2 linked regions of the Cricetulus griseus genome follow. The protein of the gene in region 1 interacts with the protein of each later gene in a biochemical or structural test. Links are inferred from orthologs where the notes say so. Each region holds a gene or a part of one and is shown in the gene's direction. Other genes may lie near its edges. The genes, in order: Tnks2 and Lnpep.

Evidence for each region.
Region 2: the proteins of Tnks2 (region 1) and Lnpep form a complex in vitro, tested with the Homo sapiens proteins (4 studies listed by BioGRID and IntAct, with this or other methods). The link is inferred for Cricetulus griseus from reciprocal best matches to the Homo sapiens genes TNKS2 and LNPEP.

Annotation. Positions count from the first base shown.
Region 1 is NC_048596.1:24,941,335-24,957,380, reverse strand, and holds the start of Tnks2 (poly [ADP-ribose] polymerase tankyrase-2), read left to right. Parts: upstream 1-6,789; 5' UTR 6,790-7,073; coding exon 7,074-7,272; intron 7,273-16,046. UniProt on the Homo sapiens protein: Poly-ADP-ribosyltransferase involved in various processes such as Wnt signaling pathway, telomere length and vesicle trafficking.
Region 2 is NC_048595.1:295,754,613-295,769,877, reverse strand, and holds part of Lnpep (leucyl-cystinyl aminopeptidase), read left to right. Parts: intron 1-9,358; coding exon 9,359-10,199; intron 10,200-14,579; coding exon 14,580-14,718; intron 14,719-15,265. UniProt on the Homo sapiens protein: Release of an N-terminal amino acid, cleaves before cysteine, leucine as well as other amino acids. Degrades peptide hormones such as oxytocin, vasopressin and angiotensin III, and plays a role in maintaining homeostasis during pregnancy.

The DNA of each region.
Region 1 (16,046 bases):
TGCTCTGGCTACTCGCCCCTAACTCCTAACCATCCATCCTCACAAGTTACTCACATACCTCTGATCTCCCTGCCCAGGTGCAGGCCTATTCAGATGCTTAGGTGCATAGATATGCAAATTAGGAGGCATATTACCCTGAGGCCATGGTAAACAAAAGTAGCCCTACTGGCATTAACAATACGCTCCATGTTTAGTGAGGCCAAAGGCTGGATCTCAAAATATTCCATAGCAGAAACACTTTGGTCCCCCACTAGCCTTGAATTCATAGCAGCTGCGGTTGCCTGCAGAACACCTGCACAAGAGAAGCCAGTGAACTGGAAGTCAGCAGTCACAATGGGAAGGGGAAAGGCTCACAAACCCTACCCTTACCTGAGATGCTATTGACAGTTGGTGCCTTCTGGAGAAGGAAGAGTTTTCTTTATAATTGTGGCCCTCCCATACGGGCGGTGGTGGTGCACACCTTTAATCCCAGGACTTGGGAGGCAGAGGCAGACAGATCTCTGTGAGTTTAAGACCAGCCTGATCTACAAGAGCTAGTTCCAGGACTATCTCCAAAGCTACACAGAGAAACCCTGTCTCAAAAAAACAAACAAACAAACAAACAAAAAATGTGGCTCTCCTGGTTAATTCAACCGTGCTCCAGTGGATGGCTTCACTGAGTGTGCAGGCAGTACAAACTGGAATGGTGGACTAGATTTTAAAAAAAGAAGACACAGCATTATACAGACTAAGAAAGCATCACATATATTTTAGGGATACACATACATACACACATACACACATAGACACACTCACACACACAAACAGTTAAAGAAAAAGAGGCCATGAACTTGAGAAAAACCAAGGGGGTACATAAAATGGTTTGGAGGGAGGAAAGGGAAAGGGTAAATGATGTAATTATATTATAATTTTTAAATATTTTAAAATTAAAGGTGTTGATGCATAACTTTATTTTCAGCACTCAGGAGACAGAGGCAGGTGGAACTCTGTGAGTTCAAGGCCAGCTTGGTCTATAGAGCAAATTCCAGGACAGCCAAGTCTACATAAGGAAATCCTGTCTCAAAAAAACAAACAAATAAACAAACATATATGTGTGTATGTATATTTGTGTATACTGTTTTATTTATATAGTTACAACTATATGTAAATATATATATATATATATAATAAGATATATTTTTAAAAAAACAAAGCAAAAGAGGGCACAAAGTTAAGCAAAAGAGGGCACAAAGTTGGAAGGAGTTGGGGTGGCTCTAGGAAGAGTTAGGATTGTGGAGTAAATATGATCAAAGTACAATGTATACATTTGTGAAACTCTCAAAACTTAATAAAAATACTGTAAATTTTAAAAAGAAATAGTTTTAACAGAGGAAGGGATTGTTTTGCTTACAGTTTGTGAGATGTGGTCCATTGAGGTGGGGAAGGCATGATAACTGTCACTAGAGGCAGCCGGTCACACTGCACCCACAGTCAGGAAGCAGAGAAAAGACCAGAAAGTAGGGCCACTGTATAAACTCAAAGCCACACCCTCAGTTGTTGGTTTCTTTCTTTCTTCCTTTTTTCTCTTTGGCTCTTTGCTCTTTTGGGGGCCTATCACCCAGCTCCCAAATAAATCACACACGGAGGCTTATTCTTAGTTATGAGGGCCCACCCTAATCTTGGTTTGTTTTTTGCCAGCATTTCTTAATTTATCCCATCTACGGATGGGGAATGCACTGTGTATGTTCATCTTATTGATTATTGAATAAAATACTGTGAGCCAATGAGACGGCAAGTATGACGGGACTAGGAGTCAAAGAGGATTCTGGGAAATGTAGTAGAGAAGTGGTGATCCAGGCAGGAAGTGACATAGCAAGGAGACTCATATTTAAGCAAGGAGAAACAGAAAATGTCCCTTTTCCCCTCTACTCTTCCTCCAGCGGTGCAATGTGATCCACCGGCAAGAGAGGGTGCCAAATGAAGGCATCCTCTATAAGATAAGTCTTATAAAATATATAGATTTATGATAATTAAGACTGAGCTAACAGATGAGGAATCCTAGTCATTGGCCAAGCAGCATTTGAACCTAATACAAGTTCTGTATATTAATTTGGGCCCTAACTCGGGTGGGCAGTTGGCGTAAAGTGCACACGTGGCGGCGGGGCTCGGTGGCTTTTGGCGGAAAGATTTATCGTAACAGTATATCTTTTGCCTCTGGACTTTTTCTTTCCTTCCTTCTATATAGCTTGCTTTCACTCTTACTCCACGGCTGACTGGGAGGGTGAATGGCCCCTGACATCCTCCTCTCCTTGGCCTTGCTGTTCCTTCCTCCTACTCCTCCATGATTTCTCCTCCTATTTATTCTCTCTGCCTATCAGCCCTGCCTATCCTTTCTTCTGCCTTGCTATTGGACATTCATCTCTTTATTAGACCACCAGGTGTTTTAGACAGGCAAAGAATCACAGCATCACAGAGTTAAGCAAATGCAGCATAAACAAAAGCAACACGCCCTAAAATAATTTTCCACAACACTCAGTGACCCACTTCCTTCTGTGAGAGCTCATCTCCTAAATGTTCTACCATCAACCCTATCTGCTAGCAGGAGACTAAATGTCCAAATCCATGACCCTATGGGGGACATTTCACATTCAAATAACATTCTGTCCCTGGTACCTATAGCCTTATGGCCATTTCATGGTTCAAAATGCATTCATTCCTACCTAAAAAGTCCCTACAGGGGACTTTAAGAGTCCTAACACTGTTCAAAATTTCTAAGTCCAATCTCTTCTGAGATTCAGTGCAATTTCCTAACTATGGGCCCCTATAACATTAAAAAAATAAGTTACAAAGTTCCAATACACAGTGACATAGAATAAACATCCTGTTCTAAAATGGAGAAATGGGACATAACAAGGAAAAGTTAGGGACAAAACAAGAATAAAACCCAGCAGGGTGAACACCAACTTCTGTAGCTCTACATCCTACATCGTGGGTTTGTGATAGAATCGCCCGAGTTCTAAAGGGCTGGGTGGCTTCTCCCCTCCAGCTCTGCCATCCGCAGCCTCTCTCTCAGAAAACTCCACTCTGTGTCCACAGCTTTCCTCAACAGGTGACCTGTGATTTGGGCATCTGGATCATCCTGGTATCTCTGTTGTAGCCTCAACTTGTCCCTTGTCTGGCTGAGGAGTCTTGAGCTACAGACTCGAAAGAAGTAACATGGGAAGTCCATAGATGAGGTAAACAGACCTCGGGGCAGCACACAGATTAATAGAAATGGGTTAATTTAAGTTGTAAGAGCTGCCTGGAGACAAGCTTAAGCCATTGGCTGAGAATTTATAATCAATAATAATTCTCTGTGTGGTTATTTGGGGGTGACTGTGGGGACACAGAAAAACTCCACCTACGTGTGCATGTAGTGGGGAGAAAATTGTATTTAAACCATCTGTTTTGTGGTATTTTGCTAAGGCTGCTCTCTGAAGGAAAGAAGTAAAACTATTTCTTGTCTTTGTTAGCTGCTTTATCTTACTTAACATTATATTCTCGATAACCACCTATGTTGGGACACCCAATAAGATTCCCTTTTTTTTTTTTTTTTTCTGGAGGCTGAGAGTTAAAGCACGATATGCATTTATCACATTTCATAGTCATCCCCTCGTGGAACAACTGGACTGCATGCGCCTCTTTGCTGTTGTGAGTAATCAATCATATGGTGAATATGATTGTGGAAATATTTGAGGTCCTGATTTCAGATTGTTTCACCATATACACCCAGAAGTACATCAGATGCTAGTTTTATGTGTATTTTTTTGTTAACATTAAATTGGCTGAATTTTCCTCTCCCTCCTCTCCTCCCATTCTCCCCGCCCCCTCTGTTTCTACTCCCCAGTCCATTCTCCCTCCATTTCTGTTCAGGAAATGGTAGGTCTCCCATGAGACAAAACCAAGCATGGCTTATCAAGTCACAGTAAGACTAAGAACCTCCCCATGTATTAAGACTGGGCAAGGTGACCCCATATGAGGAGTAGGGTCCCCCAAACCAGTAAAGGAGCCTGAGACAGTCGCTGTTCCCACGGTTAGGAGTCCCACAAGAGGACTACACTACACAACTGTAACATATATGCACAGTCCCATGCAGGCTCCCTGGTTGTCAGTTCAGTCTCTGTGAGCCCAGGCTATTTGATTCTGTGAGTTTTCTTGACCCTCTGGCTCCTACAATCCTTTCTCTCCCTCTTCTGCAGGATTCCCCAAACTCTGCCTAATGTTTGGCTGTGGGTCTGCATCTGTTTCCATCAGTTGCCAGATGAAGCCTCTCTGATAACATTTGGGCTAGGCACCAATCTGGTCCCAGGAGATGACCAGTTCAGGCTACATATATGTCTGTTATCGCTAGGAGTCTTAACTAGTGTCCTCCTTGGAGATTCCTGGAGATTCCCTTGTGCCAGGTTTTTACCTGACCCCGAAATACCCCTTTCAGTACTCTCCCTCTCTGCCATTCCCCCCTCATACACATACACACACACACACACACACACACACACACACACACACACACCCTGATGACTTACGTTCCCATCCTTGCCCACCCTCAATCCACTCATGAAATCTCTATTTCCCTTTACAGGGAAATCCGGGCACCCCCCCCCACACACACACACAATGAACCCTCCTTGTTAACTAGTCTCTCTGGGTCTGTGGATTGTAGCATTACTTTAAAGCTAATATCCACTTATGAGTGAGGACATACCATGTTTATCTTTCTCCGTCTGGTTACCTCTCTCAGGATGATTATTTCTAATTCTATCCATTTGTCTGCAAATTTCCTGGTGTTATGGCTGGGTCTTGTGGTAGATTGAGTCCCAGTTTTCTGAGACACCGCCACACTGACTTCTAAAGTGGCTTAACCAATTCATTTTATGTTTTGGTATTTTTGTCTGCACCATATGTATGCCTGGTGCTTGGGGAGGCCAGAAAAGGGCAACAGATCCTGAGACTAGAGCTATGGTTATGGAAACTGAACCCAAGTCCTAGGGAGAACAGATAGTGCTCTTAACCACCGAGTTGTCCCCTCTCCAGTCCTGATATGTTAAGTTTTGTGAGGAGCTGCCAGATTGTTTTCTAAAATGAGTGGACAGTTTATGATCCCATCAAGAATGAAAAATGATTCTAATTTGTACTATTATATCAACATTTGTTAATTTTTGTTTGCATTAAAATAGCCATCCTAATGTGCTTTTCAACTGCATTTCTCTAGAAATCATATGATGCTTTTTTAAAAATGTTAGGCGTAGGAGATACATCATTTATGATTTATTAAAGCTTGCCTGAGGATTCAGAAAGCAAAGCCAGCCTCAAGCTATAGAGATCAGGTATGGCGATGCACACCTTTAATCCCAGCAGTGAAGTCCGAAGCAGTCTGAAGAACGATCCTTTGGTCTGAGCTGAGGTAGAGGTAAGAAGAGCTGGTGGTGGGCTGCTTTGCTTTTCTGATGTTCGGCTTGAAGCTTGACCCCAGTATCAGTCTCTGGGTCTTTTATTTATCATCCGTAGATAAAGTGTTTGCTGTGCCAGCATGATGTTGCTTAAGATATACTGGGAGGATATAGATAAGCAGAAATTATTAAATAAAAAAATAATTGGGAATATATTTGGCAAGTAGATGAAATGAAGAAAAATTCGACACAATCATTAGTATGTGTTCTAATCCTTTGGTATGTTCATGAATGTTTATTTTTATTAAGATGCATCAATTTAAATGTACACTAAATACCCTAAGAACATGATTCTAGAATAAACACATACAACAATGCTCCCATTTACTAAAACGCTCAAAAAAGAGTACCCTGCTTTTCTCCCACAGCGGTGAGTCAACACTCCCAAACAAAAACTGGATTTCCTGAAAAACAGGTTAAGTCAATTCACAGGGGGAAACGCTTGTCAGCATGACAAAGGTCAGCACTTTCAGCACAAGCAAAATCTCTATCAACCTTTCTTTCGGGTTTCTGAAACAAAGTCATACACAAAGATGTCACTATTACCTTAAACACAAAAATGAATTGTGCGCTTGTACTCTTTGATCACAGGGAGAGAAAAAAAAAAAGAACTTCAGGAAACTTTCTTGATGTGCACGCTTAGTGTACCGGCACCTTGGCCACATCCGGTAACAATCCTGATTTATATATAGGTTCTCTAGTCAGCACTGGGCTAATAATTTACTATGGGAAATGTAGCTAATCAGAGCCACCCCACCCCGCAATTGTTGCTTTAGAATTCGTCGCCTTCTTGATTTAGGGCCGTTCATCCCAAGTTCTCCGTAAGAGCAACGAGTCCGTTTCTGAGAAGAGGCTTGTAAGAAAAACAAAATCCGATGCCGAGGGTTAAGCGGAGAGACACTGTAAAGAACATGGGAGAGGGAGGAGGTGGGAGCAGGAATCTCCCATGGGAAGGCATGGAAGCAAAACTACAGACATTTTCCACGCTAAGGCTTCCAAAAGAAAACGCATGGGCAGCAGGAACAAAACTTGCGAAGGTTCATCTCCAGGATATGAGCAATGAAACTCATCTCGGGAGGGCTGTGCTTTGAGAAACAGAAGAGCGAGCGAGCGAGCCCTCCGGTCCTCGGCAGAGGCCCCGTAAAGATGGCGGTGGGCCGAAGCCCCTTCTCTTCCCTCCACCGAAGGCTCCCGAGAGCCGCACATTTCCCACAAACCCCTCCGCGCGGCCCCGCTCGCCCAGGCCGGCCCGGCCGGAGCGCGGCCACTGCGCACGCGCGCGCTGACGTCACGCGCGCTCCCGGGGACCCGCCGGAGCTGGCAGAAGCGGTCTCGGCTGCTTCCGCCGCCGCGTCGCTCCGGGCTCGGCGGGCGGGTTTCGCGCTGCCTCCGCCGCGGTGGGGCGGCCGGGGGTCACGGAGTCGAGCGGGGGGCGCGCGGCGGCGCGGCCATGGGACTGCGCCGGCTCTGGTGACAGCGGGGAGCCAAGCGGCCCGGGCCCTGAGCGCGTCTCCTGCGGGGGGCCTCGCCCTCCTGCTCGCGGGGCCGGGGCTCCTGCTGCCTTTGCTGGCGCTGCTGCTGGCGGCGGCGGCGGCGGCCCGGATCATGTCTGGTCGCCGCTGCGCCGGCGGGGGCGCGGCCTGCGCGAATGCGGTGGCCGAGGCCGTAGAGCCGTCTGCCCGCGAGCTGTTCGAGGCTTGCCGCAACGGGGACGTGGAGCGAGTGAAGAGGCTGGTGACGCCCGAGAAGGTGAACAGCCGCGACACGGCCGGCAGGAAGTCCACCCCGCTCCACTTCGCCGCAGGTAAGCGGCGGCCCCGCGTCGCCTCCCTCCCGCACGCCCCACCTGCAGGCTCGGGCTTGCAGGCCGCGAGCCGCGCGGCACTGCCCCGGCTCCGACCTTTCCCCGGGACTCTCACCACGGCCATCTCGCGCTCTTGTCTTGGGGCTCGTGATGAGGGGTGGGGTGAGCGTGCTCTGGGGAAGTTGTTTTTGTGGCATGGGTTTTTGTTTTTTTTGTTTTTTTGTTTTTTTTTGGTGTGGTTTGTTGAAGGTGGAGGAGGGGGGTGCTTTGTTTTGTTTTACTGTATCAACAATACCTGCACCGACTTCCGGTCTTGCTACCCTGTAGGGCCTCTGCACACAAGGCTTAGTAGACCTTGTGAATTGAAAGAGCGATTATCTCAACAATTCACCCTTCTTTGCAAGTTTCACCGTAACGCTTACCAATCCCTTTAGTTCTAGCGGCCTTCTTAAACTGTGAAAATGTAATTCAGGAGTTGTTTTATTGGCTATTGACTCATTAGAGTTAATTGGTTTAGGTTTCTGGAGAGACTAAAACCGGAAATAGGCAGGTTTGGGAGCCCTGAGATCTACTTAGGCTGAGTGTGGGTGGCCTCTGCCACACACAAACACACATATACACTCACAAGTTGGGGTGGAAAGTAAGTGAGAGACAAGCCGGAACAAGCACTTGAGCTTGGATCTAGGATTTTGAGACTCATTTTGAGTCATCCCGAGATTTATTTTAGATAGTTTGAAATTAGTTTTAACTACTGGGTTCTCTTTATGATACCAGGGTGCTTAAGTTTGTTGAGGTATTTAAAATAGCCAGCGTATTGACTAAACCTTTTATGCTTCTCATGTTAAGGACAGATGGTAACTCTTTAACCTTTTGAACCTTGGGTAATCGAAAAAGTCCTCACGGCTTGGTAACATTTGCTTATAGTGTGCGTCAAGATTGTTTAGCGGTTCTTTTTAAAAAAAGAAACATTTTAAAGTACTCTTGTTCCTCTAGGGCAGGAATGATGGACAGAAGAGCATGAAAAAGACTTTCTTGTTCTCAGACATTGCTTTTACAGTTACACCAATTGTAGTCTGTTTGCTTTGACCTGCCCCCATTTTAAAATGTACGTGCTGTCATGAATCATGTTTCCTTACTCGAGTGTCCTTTGGGGGCCTTTCTAAGAGGGAAAGGTTTGGGAAAACCACAGTTGGGCAAACTGGAAAAGCCTGTGGACACTGGGAAAACATGCACCGAAGCCAAATCTCTCGTTAGCAGTGTTGCCTTTCTTTGGCTAATTTGAATTGTCCTGCTTGACCATTTAGCCAACCTATTTGGCAAATGGTCACAACCAACTGCTACATAATCCAAAGGGGTAATGTTACTTAGATTATGTTCACTTGATAAAAATAGCCAAGGACGATCTTAGTTGCCACCTTTCAAGAATTTGATGTATTAGTGAGTTCATGTCTGAAAATAGTAGGATTTAGAGATGTGGGTTTATGGTGTGACCTTGTTGCTCCTATGCCATCCCACCCTCAGTTCTTCCCCAACATACCACTCCTCCACTCCAAGGGTGGAATCTAAAGCCTTGGATATGCTAGACAAGTGTTCTACCACTGAATAGGGTAGAGTGTACCCAGTGCCTGTCCCAAAATTTCAAAGCATATTTACATGTATTTTATATTGTTTGTCCAGATTGAAATGGAAATTGAAATAGCATAGGGACCGACTTACAATTTGTAATTCACCTATATAGACAGTATTAGGGTTGTGAAATTAAGATATAAAATGCAAATCATAAAGTAATTAATTACTAAGGAGGCTAAGGAGTTGGCTCAGTGGAATAAAGTGCTTGCCTTGAAAACATGAGGATTTGAATTCAGATTGACAGCACCCACATTTAAAAAAAAGTTGTGTTGATGCATGCCTATAATCTCAGCTCCTGAGGGTGGAAAAAGAAGGATCCTTGGGGTTTACTAGCCAGCCCTTACAGTCAGTGAGCCCCAGGGTCAATGCAAGACCCTGTCTTAAAAAGTAAGATGGAGAGCCGTAGACCTGGCTCCTGCACACACATGTGTATATGGCATACACACAGAATAATAAAAATAATTAATAAAGAATTCATATTCAACTAGTTTCAAAAGTCCTTCATTTAGACACTAGAAAATAAGGAGTCTTTTGAGAGATGACTTTGTAAATTGTTTTTGTTTTTCAAGACAGGGTTTCTCTGTGTAACCCTGTCTTGTACCCTGGCTGTCCTGGAACTCATTTTGTAGGCCAGTCTGGCCTCGAACTCACAGAGATCCACACACCTCTGCCTCCCTAGTGCTGGGATTAAAGGTGTGTGCTGCTCCCACCACCACCACCACCACCCAGCTGGCTTTGTACATTTTAAAAATCCAAATTATTAGATTAATGAGGCACTGATTAATTCTGTTTTCCTTTGCTGGGTATTGAGCCCAGTACCTTGACCCTACTAGACATATTTGCTAACTCTGAGCTACATTCTCAGCCCTATTTATTTTTAAGTATAGCCACCCACATTATCTTTGTGGGTAGTGAGTTACCACTTGTGTTTATGTAAGTGTACTATTGGATGCTTGGTCTGCTGTCTGTAGGTGGTGGTACTTGGTAATTGCCTGACCAAGCAGTTACTTGTGATTATATTTTACAGGATTGGAGAAATAACCTCATTTTAAAAAAAAATAAAGTAGTCAATTAAGGTCTGGAGGTTTAATTGAGCAGGAAAGGCATGCTTTGTCAGTAGGAATGAGAGGTATGAATGCTACGGAAAATGAAAAATGCTTTTGTCTTTCCACACATGCCCCTCAAAACAACAACAACAAAAAAAACCCTTAGTTTAATTAGTCAGTTGTCAGCCCTTATGGGAATTAAGTTCTGTTTGTGATTAAGATAAATATATAGAATTTTTTCTTCTGTTAGCTGCTTTTCATGTTGAACTAAGTTGCATACTTATAAATACAATTTTTAAGAAGTCATGTCTAAAAAAAACAACAGAAAACAATTTCCTTTTCTATTCTTTCTCTGCCCCCATCTAAATAGATACAGGGCATGAATTCCTTTTCTTTTTTCTTTTTCTTTTTTTCTTTTTCTTTTTTTGGTGACCACAGAGTGTATACAAACAAGTTGGTTTGGACTCTAAAAGTATGAAATTTTTGGCATTGAAATCCCATCTGATCAACAACACTATACTTTGAACTTTTGTTCTAGAAAATGGGGGATGGAGACATTGGGAGAAAGTCATTTTGGTGCTCATCATGGTAGACAAAATTCAGTGTTCCTTGCCATGGAGTAGAACTCCATAGTTGTGAATCTGAAATATTTTTTTAGGATTTATTTTTATTTTATGTATATAGTTGTTTTGCCTGCATGTATGTGCACCATGTGCATTCAGTACCTTTGGAAGCCAGAAGAGGGCATCAGATTCCCCTGGAACTGGAGTTACAGATGGTTCTGAGTTGCGGTATAGTCACTGGGAATTGAACCCAGGTCCTCTGGAAGAGCAGCCGGTGCTCTTAATTACTGAGTCATCTTTCCAGCTCCCTTTTTTTTTTTTTTTTTGTAAAAGGAGAATATTTTTTATTGTCTAAGTATTTTGCACATGCATACAGTACGTGTTTTTTTGGTGTGCATTGGTGTTTTGCCTGAGTGTATGTCTGTGTAAGGGTGTCAGATCTTGGAGTTAGAGAGAGTTGTTAGCTGCCATGTGGGTGCTAGGAATTGAACCCTGGTTCTGTAGAAGAACAGTTAGTGCTTTTAACCACTGAGCCATCTCCAAGCCCCCTGAGAGTATGCAGAAAAGTGTCAGTCAGTATAGGGAAATGTAAAATGGCTGAGGTTTAAGAAATCTAGGCATGGGCAGGAGAGATGGCCCAGCAGTTACCAGCACTGACTTCTCTTCCAGAGGACCTTGGTTCAATGCTCAGCACTCATATGGCAGCTCACAATTGTCTGTAACTCCAAAATCTGACACAAACATATATGCAGGCAAAATACCAATGCAAATAAAATAAAAATGTGAACTGCTTAGAGAGGGATATTTTTTTCCTATAAGAAGAAAGTGGAATAAGAGCATCTATAGTTTATCATACAGGCAATAGAAAAAAACTGGATTTCTAAAGATGAAAGAAGACTGGACCATGTTCACATGTGCAAGACTCTTAATCCCAGCACTCCAGAGGCTGATGCAGGTGGATCTCTGAGAGTAGAAGCCACCCTGGTCTATAGAGCAAGTTGAAGGACAGCCAGGACTTAAGTAGAGAAACCCCATCTCAAAAAAAGACAAAACAAAATCTCAAAAATCCTTAAATGCCATTTCTATTTTTTTACAGATTTATTTATTATGTATACATTGTTCCTCCTCATGTATTCCTGCACACCAAAAGAGGGCACCAGATCTCATTACAGATGGTTGTGAGCCACCATGTGAGTTCTGGGAATTGATCTCAGGACCTCTGGAAGAGCAACCAATGCTCTTAACCTCTAAGCCATCTCTCCAGCCCCGTTTTATTTTATTTTGAGACAGATTTTTTTTTTCTTTGTAGCCTTGGCGGCCCTGGAATTCACTCTGTAGACCAGGCTGGCCTTGAACTCAGAGATCTCTCCTGCCTCTGCCTTCTGAGTGCTGGGATTAAAAGCATGCTCCACTGCTGCCTGGCACCATTTCTTTAAAAAGAAAATATTCATTAACATGTATATGTGTGTGAGATTGTATATGTGCATGTACCTGAGGTTAAGGCCATCCCCTGGAGCTGGAGTTACAAGCAATTATAAGCTACTTGATATGGGTGCTGGGAATTGAACTTGGGTCCTCTACAAGAAAAATAAATGTTCTTAACCACTGAACCATCACTCCAAACCCTTTAATACCATTTCTAACATAATTATGAGTGATGCACAGAACATATACACTCTTTGCCTGTTACTACAATTGTGCCTCACTATTTCCAGGAAGGAGTTTTTAATCAGTAGTTAAATCTTACAATAGAAACTACAATACTGATTAATTATTAGTCTGCTCAACAGTTCAGTCTTATAATGTAAGATCTTAGCTCCTGGACCTAGCGTGGAGAGCTGGCTTCAGTAACTTCTACTTTGGAGCACTCCTCCAGATCCTCCCTTATTCAGATTGTCAGGGTTTTATCTTCTCACAGTCCATGATATACTTTTCTACATTTCTTCTAGTCTGGCTGGATAGTATACCAGCTCCAAGTCAAGGTGGACAAAGCCCTCTTCCTTATTTTAAAGAAATTTAAGATGGAGGTTGGCATTGGCTCTTAGGATATATCTTCTTATGTCTACCTTGCCAGTGAGGACAGATAGAAATGTAGCTGTAAAACATTCCCCTCCCCCAAGAAATTGCTACTTATCAGAAGTGCTTTGTGCCATTCTTGAGAACCTAAGAATGAGGATTTCATCAGAGATGAAATGAGAATTTGGAAAACATCTTTTTATTGTTGTTTGTTTTCATTTTTGAGGCTAGATCACATGTTGGCTTTTATTCAACTCATGATCCCTCTGCCTTTGCCTCTGAAATGCTGAGGTCATGCCCGACTGTGATGCATCTTATATGCATATGTTTTCCCAGCAGTGGGAAGTTTATTGAAAATACCTCTGAGACTCTAAATGATATCCTTTAGTGCAGTGGTTCTCAACCTGTGAGTTGTGTTTGGGGATCAGACAACCATTTCACAGGGGTTGCATATCAGATATATGAAATGTGTGTGTGTGTGTGTGTGTGTGTGTGTGTGTGTGTGTGTGTGTGTGTGTGTGTGTATCCCCTGTATTATACATTACAGCTCATAACAGTAGCAAAATTACAGTTATGGGTAGCAATGAAAAGAATTTTATGGCTAGGAGTCACCACAGCATGAAGAACTGTATTAAAGGGTCACAACATTAGGAAGGTTGAGAACCACTGCTTTAGTGTTAGGATGTGGCTTCAAATGTTCAAAATTTCAGGCTCTTGATCTTGAGCAGTATAGCAAATTCCACTTACATGTATTATAGTTGTTCCGTGTGTCTTTAAAAGCATGCAGATCTCTACTCTCAGTCTCCAAACTGATTTTAGACATTTTGATAGCTAGGGAATCATGTTGGTAGAAAATCATTGGCATAGAAGACATCAGTGTCCTGGAATATGGTAGCTGTGTGGATCTACACAATCCACTCATTCTACCTGTATTTCCTCAGGTAAAACTGTAGTCAGTGCCCCTTTAATTCTGGCTTCAAGCAGCCCTTTTTCTCAGTGGTATTTTGCCAGATACTTAACAACTTGACCTTCAGCTAGTCACTAGCACTTTGGAACAGATATCTTCCCACTTGATACTATTTCTTGTAACATTAACAACTATACATCCTACTTTAGCTTTTGCTATACTCACCAAGTTCTTTTAATGAGAAGTAGCCTTCTTTATGCTACTGTCTTTATTAATGATTGTTACCAGTGAAGAAATAGGGATCCTTCTAAAGGTGGCTATATTAAATGACTTTGCAGTGAAGAGAGATACCCTCATTCTTACTCTCCAATTTAGGAAGATTTTCTAAAAGCATTTCCTCCAGATGAGTACTGAATGGATGGGAGGGGCAATAGTAGAAGACAATATCCATAAAGCCGAGGTGGTGGTAGCAGAGTCAGACCTAAAAGCAGTAAATTTACTGTCTCCTTGAAATTTTCCTTCTTGGCTTCTCAGTACCATTCTTAGTTTTCATTCTTAGCTTCCTTTCTCATGCCATGGTATATTAATTAAGCAAACATCAACAAACTATGAAACACCTCATCCTCTGAAGGACTCCAGGAAAATAATGATGAACTAAGACATTCACAGATATTAATTCTTGTGGAATTAGCATCCAGGAGCTGAATTTGGTGGTACATGTTGGTAATCTCAGCCCTAGGAAGCAGAGATAGGAAGATCTTGAATATGAAGCTAGCCAGATACATAGAGACACTATATACAGAGAAAGACAGATGATACAGACCACATTAGTAAACCATACGCGCGCGTGTGTGCGTGTGTGCGTGCGTGCGTGTTTGTGTGTGTGTGTGTGTGTGTGTGTGTGTGTGTGTGTGTGTATGTATGTATGTATGTATGTATGTATGACACATTCCTTGCTCTTAAGGAACTTTCATCTTAGTAAAGGAATGGAGACTGGTCAGAGGTGGCCTTGTTTGGGTGGTGACTTTTAAATAGACAACAATAAATGAGGGTTGTACATTCAAAAGAAAACTCTCTGAGTGGGAAGACCGTGTTTACTAAATCCCAACATACTTGATAAACTCAAAGGAAGCTGGATCACAATTATGAGGGGGAGAGGGCGTGAAACAGTGCGTGATTCACTGTGGAGTATTTGAGTGTTAGTCTGAGTATCCATGGGAAACTAGTGAATTGTTTTGAACAGTAATGTAATAGAGTGAAGTTATGTTTTGTTTTGTTGATTTGGTTTGTTTCTGTGGGTGGTTGTGTTTATGGTGTGCAGTTTTTGTTGTTTGCAGAGTCACTAAGTACACGGTACCTTTATATTTGTAATCCTTCTGCCTTAGCCTCCCAAAGACAGAAACCACAGATGTGTGACGTAGAACTAACTAAGGTCCTGGACTCTTAATTCTATGAAGTGAAAAAGTCATGAATATCTTTGTTATTTCCCCAGGATTCTAGTTTGCTTCCTATTGTGATAAAGGATTTATTTGGTTTACACTTGTACATTACTGTTGCTTAAGAAGGGATGGGAGGGCAGGAACTAAAACAAGCTGTGGAAGCTTGGTGTACTAGCTTGCTCTACACAGCTCCTTCAGCTAGCTTGTTTTATAACCCAGGATCACCTGCACGGGGGTGGCCCTACCCAAAGGAGTCTCCACTTCAATCATTAATCAAAACAAGATGCCCTGTAGGCTCTACAGGCCAGTCTGATGGAAGCATTTCCTTGTTTTATTCCCTGATGACTCTAGCTTGTGTTAAGTTGACAAAAACCTAACCAGCATGCTAAGTGTCCTTCACAGTATACAGTGTCTAACAGTTTGTTGATATTTGCTGGGTTGTTATAGTATTAGAAAATAGATAAATGAAAGATAAAAGAACAGCTTTGTCTGGTGTGTGCCATAAAGCCTGCTGGAAGTAGAAATGAGAGGACCACCTCGAAAAAGAAACTTCTCCCACATCTCAGGGTCATGCATGACTCCACTCTGTCCCACTCACTTTTGCTCTTTCTCACCACCTTACCTTATTCTCACCCCACATCTAATCCATTAGGAAGCTGTGCTGGTTCCCTCTACCCCAGAGTATGCAAAATGTGCCACTCATCATTCTGAGCAGTACTATCAGGTTATGAAATAGAAGCTATCATAATCTCTCATCTACTTTACCCTACTTAGCCCCTAATACAGTAACCAGATTAGTATAAGGCATATCTTGTAACTTACCAGCTCAAAACCCTGTAGTGACTCCCATTTTCTATGGTATTAAAAAATCACAAGGCAAACTTAGTGATCTTCATCTGGTGTTTTTATGTGTCCTTGCTTTACTTCCTATTTCTTTTCTACTGTTGGACCCACTGTTTGCCATTAAGTTGGAATCTTTGTCAACATCTTAGTAGTAGCTACAGAGACCACCATATTCAATTTTGTAGTCTTCTCCCACATACATACTTTAAGCACTCATCATCCTGACCTTTTTTTCATCACCTCTTAACATACTTATTTTTTATGTTTATTGTTTTCCCCCATACCAATAAAAAAGTTTCTCAAAGGCAGAAATTTGGTGAGCTAGAGAAAT
Region 2 (15,265 bases), on another chromosome or scaffold:
AGCCTTTCAGAGGAATCAAAGCACTGTTAACAACTTGATTTTGCTGCAGTGAGTCCCATTTTGGACTTTTTGAATCTAGAACTTGGTGATAATTTATTTGTGTTGTTCCAATAAGCTTTTCAGGTTTGTGGCAAGTGTTGTCACAATGTGTGGTATGAATGTTATATTCTCCATAGGTTCATATATTTGATCCCTAGTCAGTAATGATGTTTTGGGAAGTTATTGAACCTTATGGACATGGCAGTGGGTGGTGGGTGTCGACCATTAGGGGTGAGACTTTGAGGTTATAACCTGGCCCTTGCTTACAGTTCTGCTTTCCCCATCCTTTCTTGTGCCCCAAATCCCATTGTTACCGGCTGAACACTCTTGAGTCACAGTGCATTTCTGCTCATGATCATCTGTTCCTCTAGACAGTGTGCCAAAGTAAATGCTTTTGTTTCTGTTGAGTATTCTGAGGTATTCTGTCACAGTGATAAGAATAACAGCTAGTGCAAGCAGTGATAGGACATTAATGCACATTGCTACATTGTATTTTTTGATCCATTCTATACCTATATTCTGTAATTCTGGTTATTCTGTAACTTTTTGTAGATTCATAGATAATTGTCTTTCTGATTCTCTTCCCTTTGGCATTCTCTCAACACTGTAGCCTTCAGGGACTACTTTTCCTTGTTCCTCTATATACAAAGATCAGACTCAAATGAAATTTTACCTAATTGGCATCAGCATACTACTTTGTGACTGTTCCTGTCCTAAGGGCAGACTGGTCAAAGGAAAGGGAGCTTAGTAATAAAATAGACACTAATCCTCATGTAGATTGCTTTGCCAAGTTTTGTCTCCATTATCTACTATAAGGTGAAGTTAACTGAACAGCTATGAAGTAATCTGAGGGCAAAGCTTGTCTAGTTTAGTAGTTTTCCCCATCTCTTAGAGCAGTTTTAGGACCTTTCCTTTATTGAACTTTTCCAAAGATTTCACCCAACTTCTCAGAATGAATTTCCTCATGTTGTGTAAGCTAGCTGAATTACCTAATAGCTATGCTGAGCATGTATGACTGGAAATATTACTTGACTTTGGGTGTGCTCCTACCTACTGTCCTGGACTACAAAAGGGAGCTAACCAGCTTCAAATGTGGATATGCTGTGTACAGCAGTTTATTCATTTTCCATTGCCACCATAACAGTGATCACTGATCAGAGAATAAAATATAAACTTACTCGTCTACAATTCTGTAGGTCAGATCCACAGCATGTCTTACCCAGACATTGCCAGTGTAGTAATGCTCTCTGTGGGCTCTGGGTAGGAGCTAGGGCCTTCAGTCTCCCAGCTTTTAAAGGTCACTTACATTTATTTCTTTGCTCCTGCTCCCCTGTTCATCTTCAAAGGTGCAGAAGGCAAGCCATGCTCTTTTTATATTATTTTACTCTGATCTCTGTCTCACACATCCACTTTCAAGGACTGATTTGATTATTGTTTTTGCAGGATTGATTCTGGTTTTCTTCATGATTATTAGACAATTAATTTTACTTTCTCTGTGTTTTGTTGAGGTATTCTATGTACAGAATTGAGGAGAGAGATGATTATTGGGATTATTGTGACTTGGCTTATGTGATACCAGTCTTTGATTCTTGGTCATTTCGCCCAAATAGCCACACAGTAATGGTAGTCACCTAATTTAATAATTTGTTGAAATCTTCATTTTAACTTTTGATAATGTATAGTCATTTATTTATTTATTTATTTATTTGGATTTTTTTTTTATTTGAGCTGGTGACAGGAATTTCCTCTGTATTTAAAATCACAAGTCTTTTTTTTTTTTTTTGGTTTTTGGTTTTTGGTTTTTCGAGGCAGGGTTTCTCTGTGGCTTTGGAGACTGTCCTGGAACTAGCTCTTGTAGACCAGGCTGGTCTTGAACTCACAGAGATCCTCCTGCCTCTGCCTCCCGAGTGCTGGGATTAAAGGCATGCGCCACCAACGCCTGGCTTTAAAATCACAAGTCTTATAAATGACTCTAATGGCCATAAATAGTAATACATGTATACTTCAATATATTTTAATTCAATCTATTTTAAATAGTACTATAAGTATGAGATTGCATAAACTATCAATTAAATATTTTAAATATAAGTGCTTGTTACCTGACACCCTAAATCATAACCAAATTAAAAATCCCCTGAAAAATACAGCTACAGTAATTTAGTGCTCAAAAAAAAAAAAAACCCTAAACTTAAAAAAACCAACCAAACAAACAAAACGGTGCTAGGCATGTAGCTCATACTGGTGTTCTCAGCACTAATAATCTTTGCCAAGGTCAAAGCAAAGAGTATCACTACTAATTGATGCCTGCCATGGAATACATAGTGAGTTTAAAGCCAGCCCGAGCCAAGAGTGAAATCCTGCTTAAAGAAAACTAAACAGCAAACTCAGTGCAGAATGATTTGCGATAAACTTTGAGTTGTTAATTGGAAAGAGACATATGAAAGAAAGAAAAAGAAATGGAAAATAGTAATATGTAATTAAAAGATTTTCTAAAGACACAAGAATTTTGTGGAGCTTTATCACTTAGAAAACATTAGAACACAGTATCTCACTCTGATACTTATTTTACCGTACCGGAAATCAACAAGTAGTACAGGAGAAAAAGAAACAACAGAGTTTTCTCAAAAATATCAACTATGATAAGATGAGCGTTCTCTAAAAGATATGAAACCACCCGTGTCTAGTTTGTTTTGTCTAAGATAGGTATTGAACTTTGTTGCTTAGTTTTTACCTGTAAGTTTGACTCTTACTGTGATTTTAACCTTTCTGATTAGATTTTAAGAATTTATTTTAGCATAAAAGTATTAAAACATGAGTTTCCATTGCTATTTGAAATAATGAATTCAAATAAATTAAAAAAGAGGAATAAGAATATCTCAAACAACAGTAACTTGTAATATCATAGTGGACTTGCTTCCACTTGTGAATACTTGGATAATTCTAAGATATCTTATTATATGAAAATAATTAGTTTGAAAAAATATTTGTGCTACAAAAACAAAAGACTGCTCCAAGATTGCTTAACCATTTCCTGTGACTCTGAGAAAGTGGTTGGTTTCACAATCACTATGCTAAGCCTGTGTGGACTGAATTGTTTCACTTTCATCTTCCTGTAGAGAATTTAAAGTTTACTGACTGAGCAGGTTGTATTTATATATTTAAGGGTATGTGTATGTATGTATGTATGTATGTATGTATAATATGTATATGTAAGTCAACGATGAAAAGAAGAAGGCTGTGGATTTAAGAGAATAGGGAAGTTTTAGAGGGAAGAGTGGAAAAGGGAGAATAATGTAATTATAATCTCAAAATTAAAAATAATTATTTATAAAAATGTTTGTTCCTATCATTTTTAGTAAATACCCTTCAACAAATTTAATTGTTTAATGCATGAGATTTCTTGGGTTCTCTTTAAAGGCTTATTTAAGATCCCAATGTTTGCTTTCTTATAATAGCACTTAGTTTTCTAACAGCAAACTTGAAGTTTCGGTACAGGAGACACTAGATGTTTATTTGTTGTTGTGATAGGATTTCTCTCCATAGCCCCAGCTGTTCTGTAGATCAGGCTGGCCTCAAACTCAGAGATCCACCTGCCTCTGCCTTCCAAGTGCTGGGGTTAGAGTGTGTGCCACCACGTCCAGTTCTAATTTCTTAATTTTAATGAGAGAGAGAGAGAAAGTCCGTCTTATTGCCTCTGCTTGGTAAGATGGTAAACTTAGTGAACAACATAAAGAAACATTTTCGAATATTTATGACTGAGAAGTGAGATGTCATATAAAAGTTTGGTCATTAATACATGAGACTAATTATTAAGTACTTGTTAATGTGATAGGTTGTGTTCTGAATGCTTTATGTCTTATGTGACTTAGTGAGTGGGATATTTCTTCCCATTGATTTTAATATATTATAAAAAATATACCACAATGATAGAGTTACATACACAGTGGCAGAATGACTGGTTTTTAGCTAGCCTTCTGTTATATCTGTTGCTCAATCCAGTGTTATTGTGTGAGAGAACCTTTGGTAAATGTTGCTGCTCACCATCCTTTGTAGGGTGGTAAGATTGTTTTGTTGATAAATGAAATCATACCCATCAAACCCCTTCCTTAGGCTTAGGATGAAAAACCTACATGTGTATACAGGAGTTTTTGTGTGGAATTGTTCTAATGACAAATGTTCTGTTTCCTGTTTCTGAGTTGAGTCTGGGGCCCAGCATACATTGCCATCTCAGATGTGACATGGAACTGTAAACTAGTGTGTGCAGTGTGCTTTATGTTTGTCTTCAGGGAAAATTTGTTCTTATTTCAGGGACATGTAGCTCAGTGTAGAGCTCGAATTCCTCAGAGGATAAGATCACTGAAATATTGATGAATAATGATGATAATACTGAAATGAAGCTCATTAATTCACGAGCTTTCTATGTGAAATATATAAGGGATAAGGAGATCATATGTTATGATGTAGAATTTCTAAAATTTATGGTTTAAGACAACCATTTTACTTGGCAATGATTCTTTAGCTCAACACTTTGGATTGGGTTTTTAGGTGAGTGTTTCTTCTGCTCTTCTTGTCTGAAGTCACTCTTAAGCTGAAGTCATTGGCTGTCACCTTGACTTGAGCCTAGATGCTTCTAAGACAGGTTCACACGTGGTGAATCTGGCAGTGGCTGCTGGCTGTTGGCCGGATGTTTTTTAATGTGGTTCCCCCACCCACAAGGAAGCTAGCTAGCTTGAATTCCTTCTCATAGAACTGTAAAAGTAGTAATGAATAGTAAAGTTTACATAGCTTCCCAAGGCCCAGCATTAAAAATTCTGCCAAAGTCTTTCTGCTTCATTTCATTTATTAAACCAAGTTACAAGGACTATAAAAATTTAAATAGTAAAGATGAAATTCCACTTCCTAATAAGAGATCCCATAAAAGAGAAACAGCAAGTACTATCCTGGTATATAGGTTTCCTGATTTCTCTCTAAGCCAACAATATTGCTTTTTCATTAATTCATGAGCTTTCTATGTTAGCATGCTTAAAACATTGTGTGTATATGTGTGAAAGTTTTTTCCATTTACTTATAAAATAAAAATTGGGTAATAAAAATATCCAGCATACCCAAGCTCTATCTTTCAGGAATAACCACTGTTAATGTTTTTTTTTTTAATTTGCATTGTATCCTACTGGATACATGTTTATTTAAAATTCTGTAACCTGTTTGTCTTCCTTTAAACTGTATTTTTGAATATGTTTCTATATTTAAGGTAAAACCCATCTACTGCTGTTAAACAATTAGCTTTGTTCTATGGTTTGTCCACCAAAGGTTCACAGATTCCTGGGAACTTGTTTCTCAGTGTGCTGTTGGGAGGTGATGGAACTTTTAAGAGGTAGAACTGTGGAAGGCCTTTAGGTGATTGACGGCACTGTCCTTGGAAGGGAATAATGTACTTTTCCAGGAATTCTGAGTTAGCACTGCTGAGGGGGTTGTTACAGAACAAGTGAGCCTAACACCCCCTTGCTCTGGCTGTCTTCCTGTCTTCCTCTTTGTTTTTGTCATTGTGGTGCCATCCAGCATGAGGTGATACACTCAAGGGAGGCTAATCAGAGCTGCATGCTTTCTGGATTCAGCAAGATCTAAAACTATGAGCCAAGTAATCTTTTTTCTTTCTTTTTTTAAGTACCCAGCCCCAGATATAGGACTAAAAAGGATGAGTAGTCTTTTGTCATTTCCTTCCTTCCTTCCTTCCTTCCTTCCTTCCTTCCTTCCTTCCTTCATGAAAATACTGCTATAAACATTCAGTGAAATTATTTATTACATTTATTGTGTGTGTGTGTGTGTGTGTGTGTGTGTGTGTGTGTGTGTGTGTGTGTGTTGAGCAGAGGTTGCATGTGGAGGCCAGAGAACATCTTTTGCATGTTGGTTTGGTTCAGTACTTCCACCCTGTGATGAGACACAAGGTTCAAACTCAGGTCATAGGCTTGGCTGCAAGAGCCTTTTACTCCTGAGTTATCTCACCAGCCCCTAAACACTTTTTTTTTTTTAAGTTAACTTATTACTATTTTGTTTGTATGAAAGTGTGAGTATTTCGTAGTATATGTGTGTGTGAATGCAGCTGTCCATGTACCGAAGCACAAGTGTGGAGTTCAGAGGGCAGCTTTGAGGAGTCAGTTATCTCTTCCCACCTTGTTGAAGCACTGAGTCAGAGTTTTGTGTTATTTCTGTTGGGCTGTGCAGTCCAGGCTGTCTGACCCACCAGCTTCTTCTGTCTCTGCCTCCCATTTGCCTTGGATGTGCCATTGTACCCATTCTGTACCCATTGAATCCCATGGGCTCTGGGAATCAAGCAGGTCATCAGGTTTGTTCAGCAAACATTATTACACAGTAGGCATCTTGCAGGCTTTAAAAAAATTATGTACACCTCTGTCTCTCTCTCTGTGTCTGTGTGTGTGTGTGTGTCTGTCTGTCTGTCTCTCTCTCTCTCTCTCTCTCTCTCTCTCTCTCTCTCTCTCTCTCTGTGTGTGTGTGTGTGTGTGTGTGTGTGTGTGTAAACATTCTCCAACATATATCCCTGTGTAATTGATACTTTTCTCTTGTGGACTTACTTGGTGAAAATTTTGTAAGACCTTGGTATGTATTCATGAGGCATGAATTTAAGGATCTTGGTACAAGCTCATCAGTAGGTATAATTTTACCAAGCTGGGTTTGTTGTGTTGAGATCATGTTAAAGAGAGATTTCTAAAAGCTAATGAAAAATGTAAGCCATAGAGAAAAATCTTCCTTTAACATTTTACTTGTAGATTGAAATATACATAGTTGCTATGTTAGCTAATGGACTAAATTTTTATCTAGTATATGGATCTGCTGATGGAAGTTCTTCACTTTGTTTGTCCAGGTGAAAACTTTGTTCCTTTTCTACAGGAAATGACTTTTTCATTTTTTTCTCTTTTGTTTGTTTCTGTTAAGGATTGCAGTTTGCTGTTAAGGTCTGCAGTTTGCTTGCTGTAGATGTTTCTTGCCTCTACCCTTGATCCCTTAGGTTTCTTTGCAGAGCTTCCAGGCATTGATGCTTTGCACCCTGATCACAGTTTTTGCTAGGCTGACAGGCCAGCAAGCTCCTGATTTCAGCATGTCTTCTCTGTCCAGTGTTGGGGTTACATGCCCACTTTTTTTTTTCTTGAGTATTGGAGACTTAAACCCAGGTCTTCATGATTTGGCAGCAAGTATTCTTTCCCATTGAGTGATCTCCCCAGCCTCTGGTCCCTTTTATTTAGTTGCAGTTTTTCTGGTGAAAGTTTTATCTATTGACATAGTCCTCTGTTTTACTTTTTAAAGCCATTTTCCTTATTCTTTGGGACATATTTACAGCAGCTGTTCTAAAGTTAAGTGCAGCAGCTGACTTTTGTTTTCTTATGGATCACATTTTGTATGTCATTGAGCAGAGCAATGCTTATTAACTATTACAGCCTTATTTGAATATAGCAGGCCTTGTGTCTGCTCAAGAAAATTTGTTTAAATTAGGCTTTTGCAGGGATTTTGATATGTTAATTTAAATATATATACCCACTATGTTTTTCTGGGTATTAAGTAGCTAATGTCAGTCTTATTCTACTGATGATGAATAATATTTTAATAATTTCATTGCCAGATACCAAATTGTTAAAAGTGCTTCCCTTTCATTAAATTAACATGGGTCAGAAGATGTAGTACACTAATGAGATTCAAATTTGAAAACATTTTTTTTAAGAATCTGGGCTCAAATATAAATTTTACCAGTAAATATCTCTCTGGCTTTGAAATTGTCAGTCCATTTCTGTTTGTTTTTTCATGACTTAATTTTTTTAAGATTTTATTTATTTTTTTTATTAAGTATACAACATTCTGCCTCCACAACAGAAGAGGGCATTATATCCCATTATAGATGGTTGTGAGCCACCATGTGGTCTCTGGGAATTGAACTCAGGACCTCTGGAAGAGCATCCAGTTCTCTTAACCTCTGAGCCATCTCTCCAGCCCATGACTTAATTTTTGCCACTTTATAGAACTGCTGTGCAGATTAGAAATGTTAATTGTAAAGTGCCTTGTGAGAACAAGTTAAAGATGATTCAATTTGTTAAACTCTTAAAATCCCTTACAAGATGTGATTTTTTTAATACAAAATATTGACTGTCCCAATTCTAAGTCATTGATAGATACATAGTATTATTTACCCCTTTGCTTCTTGAGACCTTTCTCCTCAGTGACATTTGGCAAATGGGAGGAGTGTAGCTCAGAAGAGCTCCCACCACTTCCTGACTCAAGATATGCTGACACTCATGGTGCTCGTTCATTCTGTTTTTAAGGATGGGAAACATTGTACTGGTGAAAGGTACACAAGGGCGAAAAGGCAGGTTTTGAACTACAGTTTGATCTGTTTTGTAAGTTTTTTTGTCCGTGTTACTGTTTCTTGCTTGTCAAAATTTTATAAGTAATTTTCCTCTTTCAGTGTACTGTCGTACAAAAACATCCTTCTCCTGAGGGAAACAATAGCCCATTCTCTTGATGAGCTGTCTCTTAAGCCTAGAAGCAGGTAGACCCATCTTTAATTTGCCCAGGATAGAGTGGGACTCAGGAAGAAGACCCACACAGGCCTTACAACCTGGTTTGCAGTATTTGGCCAAGAATTCCAGGCTTCAAGTGTCCAGACCCAGAAGAAAGGCATTGACTACAATCCTTTTGGCCCCACTCAATCCTAGCTGTTTAGGGACATACATGGGCAGAGATGGCCAGAGTGACATACTCTAAAGTCAAGCCTGGAACCCAGGGTATTGATTGGGTGGTACCATTTTAAAGAAAGTACTATAAAATCACATCTGCTTAAAAAAATTTCTTTACTTTCATTATTAACAGAAAACAAATTCAAATGAAATAAATATCACACACCAAAATTACCCAGGCCTAAAATCCGTGTACATTTCAGTAAGCTTCTATACAGATACAATAGCCACTCTTTTTCACTATCAGATATATTTTTATTCACTTAGTGACCACTAACAATGAAAAAAATCTGTGACAGAAAAACAATTAGCTTTATACTATCTTTCATTAATATTAGCCCATTTACTAGTGTTTTTGTTTTGGGGGTTCATGACTATAGTATGCTTTTATATATATTCTTGATTTTTAATGAACAACTCAAGAATTCCATAAAGCCTCTATTTAATTCTAATAGCTTTAAGGTGGAAATAAGTCTTAGTGATTAAAAAAAAAAAACATTAAATTTGGTCTTTCCAAGAAACATTGCATTGTGAACTCTCCCCCACTCCTGTCTTATCTTTGTGTCTTATATTTGTAGATCGACTTCAGCTTCCAAGGAATATGATTGAAAACAGCATGTTTGAAGAAGAACCAGATGTGGTAGATTTAGCCAAAGAACCTTGTTTACATCCACTGGAACCTGATGAAGTGGAATATGAGCCCCGAGGTTCAAGGCTACTGGTTCGAGGTCTTGGTGAGCATGAGATGGATGAGGATGAAGAGGATTATGAGTCATCTGCAAAGCTGCTGGGCATGTCCTTTATGAACAGAAGCTCAGGACTTCGAAACAGTGCAGTGGGCTACAGGCAGAGTCCAGACGGCTCTTGTTCAGTACCCTCTGCCAGAACCTTAGTGGTCTGTGTTTTTGTCATCGTGGTTGCTGTCTCTGTAATCATGGTGATTTATCTACTGCCTAGATGTACCTTTACCAAAGAAGGCTGCCACAAAAAAAACCAGTCAACGGGACTAATTCAGCCAGTTGCCACAAATGGGAAATTGTTTCCATGGGCACAAATTAGGCTTCCCACTGCCATTATGCCTCAGCGCTATGAACTTAGCCTACATCCAAACCTAACCTCAATGACATTCAAGGGTTCTGTGACAATTTCACTTCAGGCTCTTCAAGCCACATGGAATATCATTCTCCATAGCACAGGACATAATATTTCAAGAGTGACATTTATGTCAGCAGTTTCTAGTCAAGAAAAACAAGTTGAAGTCCTGGAATATCCATATCACGAACAAATTGCCATTGTTGCCCCTGAAGCCCTTCTAGCAGGGCACAACTATACCTTGAAGATAGAGTATTCTGCAAATATATCTAACTCTTATTATGGATTTTATGGCATCACCTACACAGATAAAAGTAATGAGAAAAAGTATGTAAACCTCCTAAATGGTTCTTATTCTGTGCTCTTCTGCATGTGACTTCCACAGTGCAGGTTCTTTTGCCCACACCATATTTTTTTTTTAATTTAGGAAGCTATGTTCAAGTTAGAATGGTAAAATGCAAGAATATACAATTCTCTTAGGCAGAACTTCGAGTGAGTATTGTGATGGAAGAGAGTAGAAGTGTATGGTGGAAGGGAATGAAGGAAGATTATATTCTCTATTACAAACTAACAAACTTTTCTTGAGCTTTTCATGTTTTATGTGATGAATAGTGCTACCCTTCCCTGAGGCTGTAGGAGGCAGAGTGAGTGGTCCAGGCTACCCCGATGGCAGGCAGAAGTTTTAGGAGTCACTTTATGAGTTGGAGAAAGAGGGTATGAGAGGTGGCATATAAACACACATCATCTTAATGTTCTTAATCTTTACTGGTTTACTTTTTAAAATACCAGGTTGACTGTGTACTCTTTAAAAGTGTAAGAAAGAATCACATCTCAAAAAAGAAAAAAAAGTGATATACAGTGTAAGAGTATTCTACAGCCTATTTGGATCATACTTTGTTGTTTAATTTTATTAGCCATATCATAGATGGGTTTCATGAAAGATAGTGTATATTATAATGATTCCATTATAATCATAAGTAATGATAATTTCATCTCTGTGCACAAAGGCCATTTATATGTGCTTTATGTTAGTAGAGCATTCTTACATAATATACTCATAATACTCTGTAGACCAGTTAAGGAATTATTTACACTGGCCAGTTGGCTAATATATATTAATATATTGTTGTTGTTTTGTTCAATGTTTCAGAGTCTTTTTTAATTTTCAGTTCATTGAAAGTAAATAATTTTTTAAATATATGTAATTTCAATCATACATTTTATTTCTTGTTTGATGGACCCAACATTTGGTTTGGTTATAGATTTTTTTTTTGACAACTGTGGTTTTCTATATGGATTTCAAAGAAGAAAATACATTTTTTTTAAAAGAGTAATTTTACTAATTGAAAATAAAAAGAACACGTTAGTTCTTTATTTTTTCTACCCAAGACATTGAATTTGCTATAGAATGGATGTTTCTCTCTTAGCTTTTTTCCGAACAGTAGAAAAAAAAAAAAAACATTTTTTTTCTCAGTCATCAGAAAACACTCAAGTACTGGATGAAAATTTGAGACAAGGCTGCAGCTCTCTGTTGGGAATTAAGAATCATCAAAAGCTGCTACAATTTTCTTTTCACATCAAATTGTCCATCTGCTTCTCACATATATTTGAGGGTTTTATACTGATAGTTTGAATTTGAAACATGGTTATATTTTAGTAACCTCTACTTAATAAGAATGTCAGATAAACTTTTTCTTTTATATATGCTTTTAAAACAAATAGCATGCTGCCTTTATATTTCAGTTGTTGAATGATTATCTAAATTGAACACAAATTTGTGATTGTAGTGGCAGCCTTGGAATGTTTAGCGTTAGTTATTGGTTTGTAATCTTTGTTATCTTTGTAGGAACTACAGTATTTTGCACCCTGGTTTGCATTGTACATTTTTAATGTAGAAAGATCCACATATATAGAGAGATAGACATGTAGACAGACACACCATGCACACTATAACACAGTGACTTAATATTGCAAACAGAACTCTAAGCCCCAGAGCTATCTCATCCAATTAGATTGGAAACCTGGAATCTTTGAAACTATTGGTTTTTATGGGAAGAATGAATGCTGTGTAGTAGGAACCAGTGATTTTTTTAGGATAAGCATGTGTAAATTCTTGGTTCACTTGTGGTGCATGCTAGAAAAATGTAGGCCCTTAAAACTAAGAAGTAGAGAATTCAAAATAGTATTTTAAGCTGAAATATTGGAACAAACAGAATATAAGCTTATTTATCTGCTTGTTAATTACAGTGAAGGCCCCACATGATTGTGTATCTTGATAGAGGATAAAAGTTTAAATCACTCTGACTTTCACAATATCTGAAAACTACTAATATTAAATTTTGTGTGGGTGTGTGTCTCACAATTTTACTTTATTTTACTGGATACTTTTATACTAACCCCCACTATAATTAGAATAAATATTTAAACTGATAAAATGATTAGGGGGATGCATTTCTTGTTGCTTGGAAGGCACCTTTTCTCACCATTATACCACCAACGCTCTTGTTGCCTAGAAAATCATAATGTCTGATGCTTTGAATAGATCCTGCTTGTGATCAGGAAACTTTACCTACTTTCCACACTATTATAAATGTAATCTATGCCTATTCTTATCTCTGCACTTGTTTCCATTAGTAGGAAGGTCATGCTGGCCTTTGGTGTACGGTCCTTTTGCAGTTCTTATTTCTAATAATTTGAAGGTGTTCATTGTCTGACCTTTGTTTTTCCTCACAGCTCTTACTCCCCTATCATGTTGAGCTCTGTATTCCTAAAACTAAGCATAACAGTAGCCAGTACTTATTGGGAACTAAAACACTAGACACTGCTTAGAGCATTTTATGTTTCTTTAGTCTTCTACCTTGTCAAACTCACTAAGAAATGATAATGTATTTATAATAGCCAAGGAAAAAGGTACGTAAGAAATAGTCTGGCAGAGAGGGAACTCAAACCTGTTTCATAACCACTGTATTGAACTGCTTCTCCAGTTCACACTTTGCCTTTGCAGGTTGTTTTTGCCATTGCTTAGGATTCTCTTATTTGACTTCCAGGTAATTCCTGTCTTCAAATAGACTTGAGGAAAATCTGTAACAAGTTTTTCTGAAAGCAAACATAGTCACAAAGAAAGAATATGCATGAAGTATTCTGAATAGAGAAGACATTGTATCTTCAAAGCAGCATTCTCAGAGATGTTTGTGTGAAATAGTTATATTACTTTAACAATAATTTAAGGTTGTTTTTGTTTGTTTTGTTTTAGTTTTTCTTAGAATGTTAGGATATATAATCAGTCATGAAGGAATGCACTTGTAGTCCCAGCACTTGGGAGGTAGAGGCTGGAGGATCAGAGAAGGGTCTGTGTGTGTGTGTGTGTGCGCACATAATGAATATGAGGTAAATTTGGGCTATTTAAGATCCTGTCTCAGCTGGCCAGTAGTGGCACATGCTTTTAATCCCAGCACTTGGGAGGCTGAGGCAGGTGGATCTTTGTGAGTTTGAGGCCAGCCTGGTCTACAGAGTGAGTTTCAGTACAGCCATGGATACACAGAGAAATCCTGTTTTGAAAAACAATAATAATAATAATAATAATAATAATAATAATAATAATAATAATAATGATTTTAATTGTGGGAAAGATTTGTAGTTTCTTAGTATTAGTAATAAGCATCTATATAGAACCACCTATTTAGTATATAAATGTTTTGTTTTATTGTAAAGTTTTACTGGATTCTAACAAAACTCTGGGCTTCGTGCAGGGGATTCTGTCTCAATCATAATTATATATATATAGGTTACAGACTTTACAGAATCCAGAATCATATGTCTAATCAATGTAAACTCCAAATCCAATTTTCTGTTTTCTGCCTATCTTCTAAAAGTGGAGTCTAAGAATTGAGGAACAGAGGGTGTCATGACTAGAGTGCCTGTGGCTGGTATATTAGCAAGTCCAAGAAAGTGCTTTTGCCTGATACTCCGTTTGTGTAGTCTTCCACATAGAGATCCACTTTCTTCCTTGATTAAAAATCTTCCTTGCTTCTTTTTTTGTGCTTTTTATATGACCTGTAATTCAGTTTCTTTGTATGTAGTATAGCCTTGTCTGCTGCTGTTGTGGTGTGGAAAGGAGATCATCCTTTCTGTTTATCTCTGAAAAGTAAAAGGAATGCAGAGTACTGTTAAAGAACAACTTTTCTATTTTTGTGAAAGTGAATGTTGAAATGCAGTGTTGTAAACCCAGGTGTTTAGTAGCAATTAATGGCAATCCTTTCTACGGACTTTATGTCGAAAACTTTTTATGGAGCTACTTTTTGAATACCATCACACTTAGCAGCTGCCCCCTTTTATAGACACATACTGCCTCCTTCCCTTATGCTGTCTTCTTTCTCAAGTGTTTTGTTCCCCTTCTGTACTTTATCAAGTATTCTTGGTGTCCAAGGACCAATTCAGACTTTGTACTAGTTTCTCTACAGTGTCTTTAACTCCAGCAAAATTTGTTTAATGCTATTTGATCCTACTCATGTGCTTCCACTGTTAGGATATGATTTAAACCCTGCTAGAAGATGGTGTACACTCTTGACTTCTGTCTCTCTTAGTTAATTGGGGTCCTTTAAACTTTGTAATTGTAATGTGTTTGTCTTCACACCCCCAGTACTTGGCATGGTGCCCTGTCTAGTAGACACTCAATAACTATTGTATTGAATTTACATTTGTTTTTAGGTACTTTGCAGCAACTCAGTTTGAACCTCTGGCAGCAAGATCTGCTTTTCCCTGTTTTGATGAACCAGCATTTAAGGCCACATTTATCATCAAGATTACAAGGAATGAGCATCACATTGCATTATCAAATATGCCTAAGGTACTGTGACATGAAGTAAAATCTTTGGATGGATCGCTTGTCTCTGAGAACAGTTGGGTTTCTCTTTACTGTACTATTGGTAGGAATACTTAGGTTTATATGTGTCTATATTTCTGAGATAGTTAAGTAAAAATGAAGATTTGTCAGTCTGAGGATCACTCGAGGAAAGAAAGGACCCCCCCAGGTATTAGAATGCATGGGCAGGAGGTGTGAAGTGTCTTCTTGCTCTACAGTTGCACAAATACTAACACTGTGAACTAGTGCAAGCCCAGTAAATTACTTGAGACATAACGAAGTTGCTCTTCTAAGCAGTGTTGAGAGTGTGGAATTGTGATTATTCTTGGTGTTTTGGCAAATGAAACTTTGGATTGTTGTCATGAGGAAATGAACAACAAAAACAGGAGCCTTTTTCTTGAGTATTAATTGTGGGGTAGGTATTAGGGGTAACAACAAGCAGAGGAGTTTTATGCTAAAAAGAACTTAGGGTTCCCTTTGCGTATACCTGAACAGCAAGGTGAGGTCTATGTGATGCTTCCCAGAACTTGTG